Linked DNA regions of Rattus norvegicus. The protein of the gene in region 2 interacts with the protein of the main gene of each other region in a pairwise test. Links are inferred from orthologs where the notes say so. Each region holds a gene or a part of one and is shown on either strand. Other genes may lie near its edges. The genes, in order: Pin4, Zbtb9 and Eif4e2.

Region 1 (3,751 bases), on a different chromosome or scaffold from region 2:
TCTGATACTCTATAAGCAGATACTTTACCAACTCCATTTCCCAGAAGATGGAAACTGAGCCCAAGAGCTTCTTCAAGGTCACAGGACTAATAGAACGGGTTTTAAAGCAGGCCATGTGCTTCCAGAATCCAACCTTTAAATTGCATGATATGTGCTGTCATACAAAGTTTGAGGCTGGAGGTGGTAGCACATGTCTTTAGCCCCAGCAGCTGGGAGACAGAGGTAGGCAAATCTCTGCGAGTTCAAGGACAGTCAGGGATACACACAGAGAAACCCTGTATTGAAAGAAAAAAGGAAGGAAAAGAGAGAGGTAAGGAGGGAGGAAGGGAAGAAAAAAAGAAAAGAATTTTGGAAAATAAAGAGACATGAATGACTATATAGATGGACACCAGTGGTCACATGCTATGCTGCTGAACATTATTAATGGCTTATCTTTTAAGTGTATATACTATGTACTACAGGATATATAACTTTAAAAATCACATTCTACACCTTGGTCTATAATCTTCCCTAAGGCTATTTCTGTATACACAGTTTATAATCATTATTTTAAAATTAATTTAGGCTGCTTCCAATGTTTCTCCATGACAGACTTCTGCCACAGGCAATGGGATGATAGGCTTAAAAAAATTCCATCTTTTATACCCCATCAACTACTGCTGTGAAAATATAAATAAATGGCTAAATAAATAAATAAGAAAAGCCACTAGGGAGTGCAGTTCTGTGTCAGTCCGTGAAAGGACAGGAGAAGAAGGCCATTATCTAAGGTCCTTCTGCTATCCCTTTGTCTAGCATCCCCAAGGTATTAGCAAAAACCCACGCCAAGGAACTGCAGTGGCCTGAGGCTAGCACTGCGCATGCACAAAAAGTGGGCGGGGGTGAAAGAGAGCATAGAACGGGTGCATATGAGGGCAAGTGAAAGCCTTGAGGAACAGAACAGAGGCGGGGCTTTTTTGTCTCTGGGCAACCTTTGTTCCCGCCTCTCCTTAGGGCTTCGGCTTCTTATTGGTCAAACATCTTTAGTTCCTATAGGTCAAAGAACCAATGAACTGGGTCTGTCCCAAGTTATGCCTGATTCCGGAACCGCAGCAGAAATAGTTGATTGTGAAGCTGCTTTCAGGCATTGCTTTGGACATATCTATGGGGCCTGAAGGGGCCTTTTTCTAGCACCGGAACAACTGCCGGAGAGTTCAACGGCAAGCTTAAGAGATGCCGCCGAAGGGGAAAAGTGGTTCTGGAAAAGGAGGGAAAGGTAGACCGGCCGAGACAGTCAGAGAGCTTAGGGGTGAATGAGGAGAAGGGCAGGGGTAGGCCGGCAGGGTGAGGAAAAGGGCAGGGGTAGGCCGGCAGCTGTGGGGGGGGGGGGCCGCGGGGGGGGTGGTGTTATAAGTTGGCCAACAAGGTAACCAAGAGCACCGTGAGCCGCTACGATTTATGTTCGGGGTTCTTTTAGTAAGTCAGAAAAGTGCTGTGATTCAGGGTACCCATGAGGTTTCAGTGCAGGGACCATCGTGGCGGGATAGAAGCTACTAGGGATGGTTCCTCGCGACCTGGAACTGCTCTTTTAAGGGTTTATTACCACTAAAATTGAATCTGATGAAACGCCAGCATTATTAACAACTAGTATTATGACATACCCCTTTCCCTTAGGAGGGAGTCACTTTTTGAAGACAGGTGTAGGGCACATGGCTGTGTTTTCAGGCTAGAAAAGTAAGACAACTCTTAGTCGTTCCTGGACGAAGTGGGGAAGATAGTACTGTGCTGAATGTAGTTCTAGGAGGTATATTATAGAAGGTGGAAAGAGGGTAAAGAATCAAACTGGAGATACTGCTGAAATAAGCAGCAGCAATAGGATAAAACATACTTGACCCGGAGTGTCCAGCCCCAGAAGCAGTTTGTATAATCTAGCATTACTGAAGTAAAAGTTCAAGACAAATAAGCCAGCAAGAGGAAGGTATTAAAGCAGAAGAAGACTAAATCATAGGGTGTGCTGTACATGATGTTAAGGTCGGTCACAGGCCAGGAGGTACTTTAGAGAGCATTTCAGTAGTTCTGGTAAAAAATAGCCTGAAGAAAGGTCGTGGTTGTAGGAACCCAGAGAAGAGACAAATAAAGGGAGTGTAGTAGAATGATGCCCCAGAGGCCCAAGGAACCAAGATGTTTTAAAGTATAAGAATGGGTGAGACACCACAAAGCCATGCCTCAGCAATGGTAGACTGAGGAGGATGTGAGTTTGAGGTCACCAGGAGTACATTGTCCTTTAGCTGGTCAGCTCCTGTTCATCAATCAAATATTGCCTGTTTAGCTAAAATACGTGTCCCTTCCACAACTTTTCACTTGTTGGATTCTCAGAAAGTGATCTGTCTTCCTCACTGGGATGTGAGCTCTTGGCTGTAGCTATGAATCCTATTCACCTTATACCTGAAGAACTGGAACTTGGGAATTATTGAGGAAACAATTGTTAAGCTAAATACTTAGTCTTAGACACCTTGGCTTCTAGCATTTAATATACTGCCTTTGACACAAAACTTAAGAGTAGTAAGATGTGCTACCAATGCTTGATAACCTGAATGTCACAAACTCTAGGAGGATATCGGTAGCCATTGTGGTAGACTGCAGGGGGAAATTATATATATATATATATATACACATATATGTGTGTGTGTGTGTGTATACACACATATATACATATATACACACATAGACATATACACACATTTATATATATACATATATACATATATACAATTTTAATATAATGATAAATATTTTAATATGATATATATGTATATATATATTCATTAGCAAGCACTCTACCCCTGAGATACAACCAAACCCCTTAAAATTCTTGGAGATTTTGAATGTTAGAGTTTCAAGTGTCACACACAGTCACAGAACATAATAAAAATTATGTGATTTTATATAATGGTAGATTTGGAATGGGGTCTGAAGAATCTGGACCAGGCTTCTGGAGCTCCTTCATCCATGCCCACACTCATTTCTTTATTTTCTGCAAAGTATTTTGTAGGGTACATTTCCTGTTATTAGAGATGAGTCATAGAGTAAGTTAACTTGATTGCATGACTCACCATGTAGCCTTTTGGAACTTGGGACTGTAATGGATGGATTACCTTGTGTTATGAGTTAGACCTATCTATAAATGTCAAAGTACAGTTGAAATGAGTTTGTATCCTCTCTTTTCTAAAGGAGGTGCAGCCTCTGGGAGCGATAGTGCTGACAAGAAGTCTCAGGGTCCTAAAGGTGGTGGCAATGCAGTAAAGGTGAGTTATCTCATGTGTTAACTTTTTTCTATGTAAAGAATTGAGGTGTGTGTATGTGTGTGTGTGCATGTGTGTGTGTGCATGTATGTGTGTATGTGTGTCTGTGTGCATGTGTGTGCGTGCGAGTGGATGCGCGTGCACAGAAAAAGGAAGGATATAAAACTAGAAACCAAAATCCAGTCTTAGCTTTCAAAGGGTAGAATTTTCAAACTTCTAGCACTGTTCTTTTAAATGTGTTAACTTGTGGACTAGGGTTTTAGCTCAGTCAGTAAAGTGCTTGAGAAAGGACCTAAGTCTAATTGGTGAGTTTTAATCCAGTGAAAGACCTTATCTCAAAATAAAAAAAGGGGGATGGCACGTTAGAAGGGAATTATCTCCTGCCCTCCAGATGCACATGTTCACAAATTTGTTACTTTGACCATGGGTGGGAGATAGTCCCCAAATAATTACCTGAAGCACTTAATCACCCT
Region 2 (3,751 bases):
TGCTGTTTGTTTACTCGTTCTCCTTTCTGCTCCTGCTCCCAGACTCTTGGTCCCCACCCCCATCCCCCCACACCCCCTCTTTTCTCCCACTCCCGGGTCCATTTCCCTTTTTTTTTCTGGAGTGTGTGGTGAAACAGAAAAATCATGTTTAATAAACGGAGATTGTTCTTTTATCGCTGGGCTGACTTTTATTTTTGGTTTTTCAAGACAGGGTCTCTGTGTGGTTCTGGGCTGTCTTGGAACTCACTCTGTAGACCAGGGTGGCCTTGAACTAGCAAGATCCGCCTGCCTCTGCCTCCTGGGACTAAAAAAGCGTCTGTCGCGGGGGGGGGGGCTGATTTTTTAGCCTGGGGTCTCCAGAACCACCTGAAGGCTGACAGGGACTACTTTGGGGGAGAAAAAGTAAAACAAAATCATGTCTTCTTCCACTACACACTGCTCGAGTCAGGAAAACTATATACGGCAGGGCCTTTCTGGTGAAACTCCTACCCCCGTTCTCTACCCGCCGGACACTCGACCCAAAGGCGCTGAGGCTGGGAACCGGCTTTTAACGCCCGAAAGACTCCAAGTGCAAAACCCTCTCGACATAGGGTTTAATTGTGAGGACGCTTGTCTGCGAAATGGAGGAAAGAACCCGGGGTGCTCAGCATGTGTGCGCTCCAGACTTCTGACCTGGCTGCCCCACGTGCACGCGGAGGACAGCCGCATCTCCTACCTCGCGCGGCAAGAGTCGGGGGGATACACACACCGCGCTGCGGAGCCAGTCACTCCCCTCACCCCAGAACCCGCAGAACCACCCTCCTCATCGGCCGCTCATCCCGGAAAACATTCGCCGCCGCTCCAGCAGCCCGCCCGCCCAAAGCCCCGCCCCTCCGACTGACCAGCCAATGAGGAGAGGTCTTGTAGGCCGCCGCTCTCCCATTGGCTGCAAACCAGGTCCGGCCCTCCGCGCCTGGCTGCAGTGGCGTCCGGCGGAACTGCGGCAGCTTCCGGCCGGCCAGGCGCAGTGGATGCGAGGAGCTCCGACGCGGTCGTGCGTGCGGTGGGGGCGTGTCGGTGGGAAGTCGTGGGGCCGGAGCTCGCGGAGCCGGCCTGTCCGAGCAAGGTGAGGAGGGGCGAGCGGCGGCGGAGGGCGACTGAGCCAGCGAGGCGGGGCGCCATCCCTTCCCTACTTGGCTTCCGCTGGGCCTGGAAGTGAAAACCCTGGTTAGTGTTTTGCTGGGTTTCTTGGTGGGCGGAACTAATACACAGAAACTTGTCACTGAAGAGTTTTCAAGTGTCGGTGGGGAGCGGCTTGAGGCAGGTCTCATACCCCGAACTTGTGTGACCCTAGTCTCTTTCCTCTGCAGTCTTCATCCACGGGTTTTATTTCTCCCTCCGAGGTAGCCATGGATGCTTCGACTCCTTTGCCTCCCGCACCCTCTTCTCCGAGGTGTAACCCAGCCCCACAGACAATCCACATTGATTTCCCTCATCATAGCTCTTCGCTGCTGGAATCCCTGAACCGCCATAGGCTGGAGGGAAAGTTCTGTGATGTATCCCTCCTGGTTCAGGGCAGGGAACTGAGGGCTCACAAAGCAGTGTTGGCTGCTGCCTCTCCTTACTTCCATGACAAGCTGCTATTGGGGGATGCGCCCCGACTCACTTTACCGAATGTCATCGAGGCAGATGCGTTCGAGGGACTGCTTCAGCTCATCTATTCAGGAAGCCTCCACCTGCCATTGGATGCTCTTCCTGCCCATCTCCTCGTGGCCAGTGGCCTTCAGATGTGGCAGGTAGTAGATCGGTGCTCAGAGATTCTTCGAGAGCTAGAAACGTCCAGTGGAATTTCATCTGGTGGAGGAGCCTCCAGCCTCACACTTCTTTCCACAACATCTGCAGGAGGCTGGTGCATTCGCTCTTCCCCTTTCCAGAACCCAGGGCGGTCCTCCGCTTCCACAGAGAATTCTGCTGCCCCTGAGAGCCCCAGTGGAGGGGAGGGGGGTGAACTAGAAGGAATGTTACAGATTCAGGTCAAAGTAGAGGAGGAAGAGGAGCAGAGGTCAGCAGCCCCACCCTTTCAGACCCCTCAGCCTGAGAGAGTGTCAGGAGCGGTTTCCCAGGCTTGCGGATCCCACCCGTTGCCTACATCGACTCTTCCCAGCAAACCTTCAGAGGATGAGAACTCAACACTTGATCCTCCTGCCCCTCCCGTACAAACTTCCCAAATCTTATACGTTAACCAGGAAAACGTCGAGTGTAAGGAGGAGACATCAGGAGGCAGGACTCTGTCTGGAGGAGCAAAGGAAAAGACCAAAGTACTGCCTGGAGAGAACTCTGAGGAAAATGGGGAGCTAAGATACTTGCTGTCCTCAGGAGGAGGGGAGACGTCTGGGGCAGGAGACCCATCCTGGAAACCAGTGGATCTCCATGGGAATGAAATCTTGTCAGGGGGCGGAGGACCCGGAGGAACAGGGCAGGCTATGCACGGGCCTGTGAAGCTAGGAGGGACACCCCCTGCAGATGGAAAGTGCTTTGCTTGCTTGTGTGGAAAACGGTTTGCAGTCAAGCCGAAACGAGACCGACACATCATGTTGACCTTCAGCCTTCGTCCCTTCGGCTGCGGCATCTGTAATAAACGCTTCAAGCTGAAGCATCATCTGACAGAGCACATGAAGACCCACGCCAGAGCTCTGCACGCGTGTCCCCATTGTGGCCGCCGGTTCCGGGTCCAGGCTTTCTTCCTTCGACACCGGGACTTATGCAAGGGCCAGGGCTGGCCCACTTACCACTGGACTTACAAATGACTACCGATGCTCTGTAGTGATTTCTAGGACAAGATAGCCACTGCTGCTGACGGACTTACCTTCCACCACCTCAGTCCTGGATCGTGTGGTCCTTCCAAGAGATTATATATGTCATGTTGTGAACCCCTTACTCTTGGGGATGGGCCTCACCCTGGTATATTTGGAAGTCCTGTAGGAAGGTCATGCTTCTGATCACTCAACCGGAATGGCCCTTTTTGTATTGATAGCCAGTGAAGGAACTGCTGACCTCAGGTTATATTAGCAAGAGAAGAGATGGAGCAAAATGACCCAGTAACTCTATCCTCATCTTCATGAGGAGGTGAGGGAGCTGGTCTCCAACTAGGAAAACATTTGATTCAGAGCTCAAGTAATTGTCAGACTCAGCTCTGAGCGGCCTCTGCCTCACTGTCAACGGTATCCCGACTCTGTACTTTCTGTCATTTCTTTCCAGAAGCTTTTTAAAGTTGTACTTTTCTTTTCTCACCAGGAGACACCTTTCCCAAATATCCTTTTAAAAATGACTGGAGAGGTGGCTCGGGCACTGACTGCTCTTCCAGAGGTCCTGAGTTCAAATCCCAGTAGCCGCATGGTGGCTCACAACCATCTGTAATGGGATCTGACGCCCTCTTCTGGCCTGCAGGCGTACATGCAGACAGAGCATTCATACATTAAAAAAAAAAAGTACTTGAACATGAAGCAAGTGTCCTGCACACATTTAATCACAGCACATGGGAGGCAGAGGCAGGTGGATCTCTTCAAGTTCAAGGCCAGCCAGGGCTGCGCTCGGCGAGACCCTATCTTGAGGGGGATAAATAGTACTCGAGCACTTTAGCAAACTGAGCATTTCACAGGTTACTCTGAAAGCCCATCGCAGAGGGTCCTCCCTCAGAGGCCTTCACCTTGTCTTTCACTACCACTAATCACAATGACAGATGTGACCCAGGAACTCAAGAGGTGGCAGCTGG
Region 3 (3,407 bases), on a different chromosome or scaffold from region 2:
GCAGAGGAAACACTCAGGCTGGTCTTGAGGGACAAGTTTAATATGTAAAGCAGGAAGAAGATGCCAAGGCACTGGAGGAACATGTCTCACTGAGCCAGAAGGAAGAGAGGACTTTCCACATTTTCTCAACATTTATTTTTTTTCCTTAGAAAAATGCTCTGGCCGTGGAGTAGAAGCCAAGTGACAGTTCTTCAAAGAGATCACAGAGCTCTCTTCCAGTTTCCCGTTCTAAAGTTTTTTTTTTTTTTTTTAAAGATTTATTTATTTTTATGTATATGAGTACACTTCAGACACACCAGAAGAGGGCATCACATCTCATTACAGATGGCTGTGAGCCACCATGTGGTTGCTGGGATTTGAACTCAGGACCTCTGGAAGAGCAGTCAGTGCTCTTAACCGCTGAGCCACCTCTCCAGCCCCCCCCCCTTCTAAAGTTTTTTTCCAGCCACTTTAATCCTCTGTATACTTAGCAAATGCATTGCACATACATATGCACATAGATGTGTTCTGAGGGAACAATGACATTTTATAAAAGTTTTTACTACTTTAACAGCACCATTTGAATGACAGTACCTATGATGGCTTGAATAAGAATGGTCCCTATAGGCTCATATATTTGAATTCATAGTCAATGAAGTAGCACTATTTGAAAGAATTAGAGGGATTAAGAGGTAAGGTCTTATTAGGGCAAGAGCTGACTGGGGTGTATTCTGAGGTTTAAAAGCCCAGAGTCTCATCTGCTGCCTATGAATCGGGACACTCAACAAATTCCCACCTCCCCGAACGCCACCATGCTTCCTGCCATGATGATAATGAACTAAACCTCTGAAACTGTTAAGCCAGCCCCAATTAAACCTTCTCTTATACTAGTTGCCTTAAGAGAGGACCATCTTCAAAGCCATAAGCCAAGAACATGTACGACTGCATCAATGACTGTTCCTAGAGGTGCAGGCTCCCAAGACTTAGCAAATCGTGTTACAGCTTTGAGAGAAAATTTCAAAACTCTTCTAACCTTGGCAGAACTTAAAATTAAAATAAGTAAAGAAAAAGTCTGCTCCTGAAAGCAGCTAGAGATGCCAGTCCTTACCTCCCACATAGGTTTGATTCCTTCTTTAAAGAGATGAAAGTCACTGTGGCCTGTCAGGTCCCCGGGACGGACCATGTGGCTGTAAAACTTCCAGAACTGTTCCACCTGTAGAAAGAAGAGCCAAGAGTACAAGGACTTTATCTCTTCTTTGAACGCACACACAGTTGTATTACTGAGAACAGAAACATGGGAGACATCCTGCCTTGGGTACCCTCTTTGGGGACACATTTTCATTTGGAGCAGGGTAGAAAGAAGACCATCATATAGGTTTTTTATTTGGTTTGAGACAAGGTCTCTTGTAGCTCAGGCTGGTCTTCAACTGACCTACCTCCTGCCTCCACCTCCCAAGTGCTAGGATTGTAAGCATGTACTACCATGCCTGGCTTGTACAGTTTAATCAAAGAAAAACAAGACAAAATAAGAACAAAAACACCTAATACTTTCAATCCAAGGATAAACCCAGCTGGAGAGCTGGCTCAGGATCAAGTGCTCTGGCTTACCTTCCAGAGGACCCAGGTTCATTTCTTAGCACTGGCATGGCAGCTCATAACCATGTGTGGTTAGCAAACAGTTCTAGGGAATCCAATACCCTCTTCAGATTTGCACACTGTACACACGTGGTGCAGATATACACTAATACAGATAGAATATTTACAATCTAAAAAAAAAGTTGGTGAAAACTGCTGGGGTCCGTCAGCAGCTTTGAGGTGGAAAAGGAGGCCACACTGACAAGCCTGGCCTCTCACGGAATAGTAACAGCACCAGCTCTCTGCACAACTGAAAACCTTTCTTTCATACTGAGGTATGTCAGGAGACAAGGCCTCACCTGCATATACTCACAGAGTCAAATCTAATTTTTTTCTTTTGTTTAGACAGTGTATGAGCTAGGGTTATGGTTTCTTTCCTCCTCTCAGCTGGAAAGATTATGTCTCTTCTGTATATACCTTAAACAGGAAAACTAGGTTTATAGTTTTCTTTCAAGTATGTTTATACACTTATATTCCAGTATTCAGGATCTAGGGAACATGGATCACCCAGATGGGGTTACATAGTGATACCCTACCTACATCGAAAACAAAAACAAAAACAACAACAACAACAACAACAACAACAAAAAACCAACCAACTGAACAACCCACCCAGAGGCTGGAAATCCAGACCGTTCAGTGGTTGAAAGGGCTTGCTGCTCTTTCAGTTCCCAGCACGCACAATAGGTGGCTCACAACTGCCTGCAACTACAACATCAGGGCATCTAATATCCTCTTCTGGCCTCTGCAGACATTCAGCAGGTATGCACACACTACATATACCACATGTGCACACACAAATTAAAAACATTAATAACAGCAACAACAACACCAACAACCCCAAACTCACTCACACTCATCCTGGTCTCTGTGATCTACAGAAGATACCTGTAGGCCCTGGCAGGAAGGAGGCACTTTAGGAAAAGAAGACATGAGGCAGGAATAACTACCAGTAACTGTCAATACCGTGTCAATACTCAGCAGGACTGTGCAGTAGGAAACAGGTGTTGTCAAATATTGAGGCCTATTAAATCTAGATAGCAAGAGAAACTGACTCCTATCAGGTAAAAAAAAGTTGTTCTCTCCAGCTGCCTTACAGAACACAACATGTTCTTATATAGTTCAAAACCAGAAACTAATGCTATCTATGGGATTTTAATTCAACACCTCATCTCTGAAACTGCTGGGCCTACCTGTACATGTAGTAATTTGGAATATTAAGTGGCTGTAACATATACAGTGAGCAGTAATCTAAACTTTTGCCTATATTTTAGGCAAAATATACAAATCTGTACTCAAGCCAAAATAGAGATAAAAGAAACAGCTCAGTGGCTAAAAGCACATACTTTTCAATTTTCAGCACCCACATCAAGCAACTTACAACTACCTGCAACCCCAGCTCCAGGGGGATATGACACCTCTGAACTCTGGGCATTTATACTTGTGTGTGTGCGTGTGTGCATGGGACACACACACAGAGACAGAGACAGAGACAGAGACAGAGAGAGAGAGAGAGAGAGAGAGAGAGAGAAAAACAACCATTAAACTTTGAAAGATGTCTTATTATTTTAATGTTCGGTCCCCAGCTCCGAAAAAAAAGAACCAAAAAAAAAAAAAAAAAAAAAAAAGGATTTATTTTATTTTTATTTATGTGTGTGTATCCTTGTCCATGCACATGCCCACAAGGCCAGAAGATATCAGATTCCTGGGAGCTTCCATTATAGGGAGTGGTGAGCTACCTGACATGGTGCTGGGAACTGAACTCAACTGGTCCTCTGCAAGAGCAGTATCCT

The links.
Region 1: the proteins of Zbtb9 (region 2) and Pin4 interact in binary tests that used the Homo sapiens proteins (3 or more experiments, as listed by UniProt). The two-hybrid records come from large-scale screens. The link is inferred for Rattus norvegicus from reciprocal best matches to the Homo sapiens genes ZBTB9 and PIN4.
Region 3: the proteins of Zbtb9 (region 2) and Eif4e2 interact in binary tests that used the Homo sapiens proteins (3 or more experiments, as listed by UniProt). The two-hybrid records come from large-scale screens. The link is inferred for Rattus norvegicus from reciprocal best matches to the Homo sapiens genes ZBTB9 and EIF4E2.

The regions. Positions count from the first base shown.
Region 1 is NC_086039.1:71,270,878-71,274,628, forward strand, and holds the start of Pin4 (peptidyl-prolyl cis-trans isomerase NIMA-interacting 4), read left to right. Parts: upstream 1-1,156; 5' UTR 1,157-1,209; coding exon 1,210-1,252; coding exon of another isoform or gene 1,253-1,285; intron 1,286-3,207; coding exon 3,208-3,281; intron 3,282-3,751.
Region 2 is NC_086038.1:5,058,347-5,062,097, forward strand, and holds the start of Zbtb9 (zinc finger and BTB domain-containing protein 9), read left to right. Parts: upstream 1-969; 5' UTR 970-1,105; exon of another isoform or gene 1,106-1,206; intron 1,207-1,349; 5' UTR 1,350-1,388; coding exon 1,389-2,786; 3' UTR 2,787-3,751. UniProt on the Homo sapiens protein: May be involved in transcriptional regulation.
Region 3 is NC_086027.1:95,344,344-95,347,750, reverse strand, and holds part of Eif4e2 (eukaryotic translation initiation factor 4E type 2), read right to left. Parts: intron 1,193-3,407; coding exon 1,088-1,192; intron 1-1,087. UniProt on the Homo sapiens protein: Recognizes and binds the 7-methylguanosine-containing mRNA cap during an early step in the initiation. Acts as a repressor of translation initiation.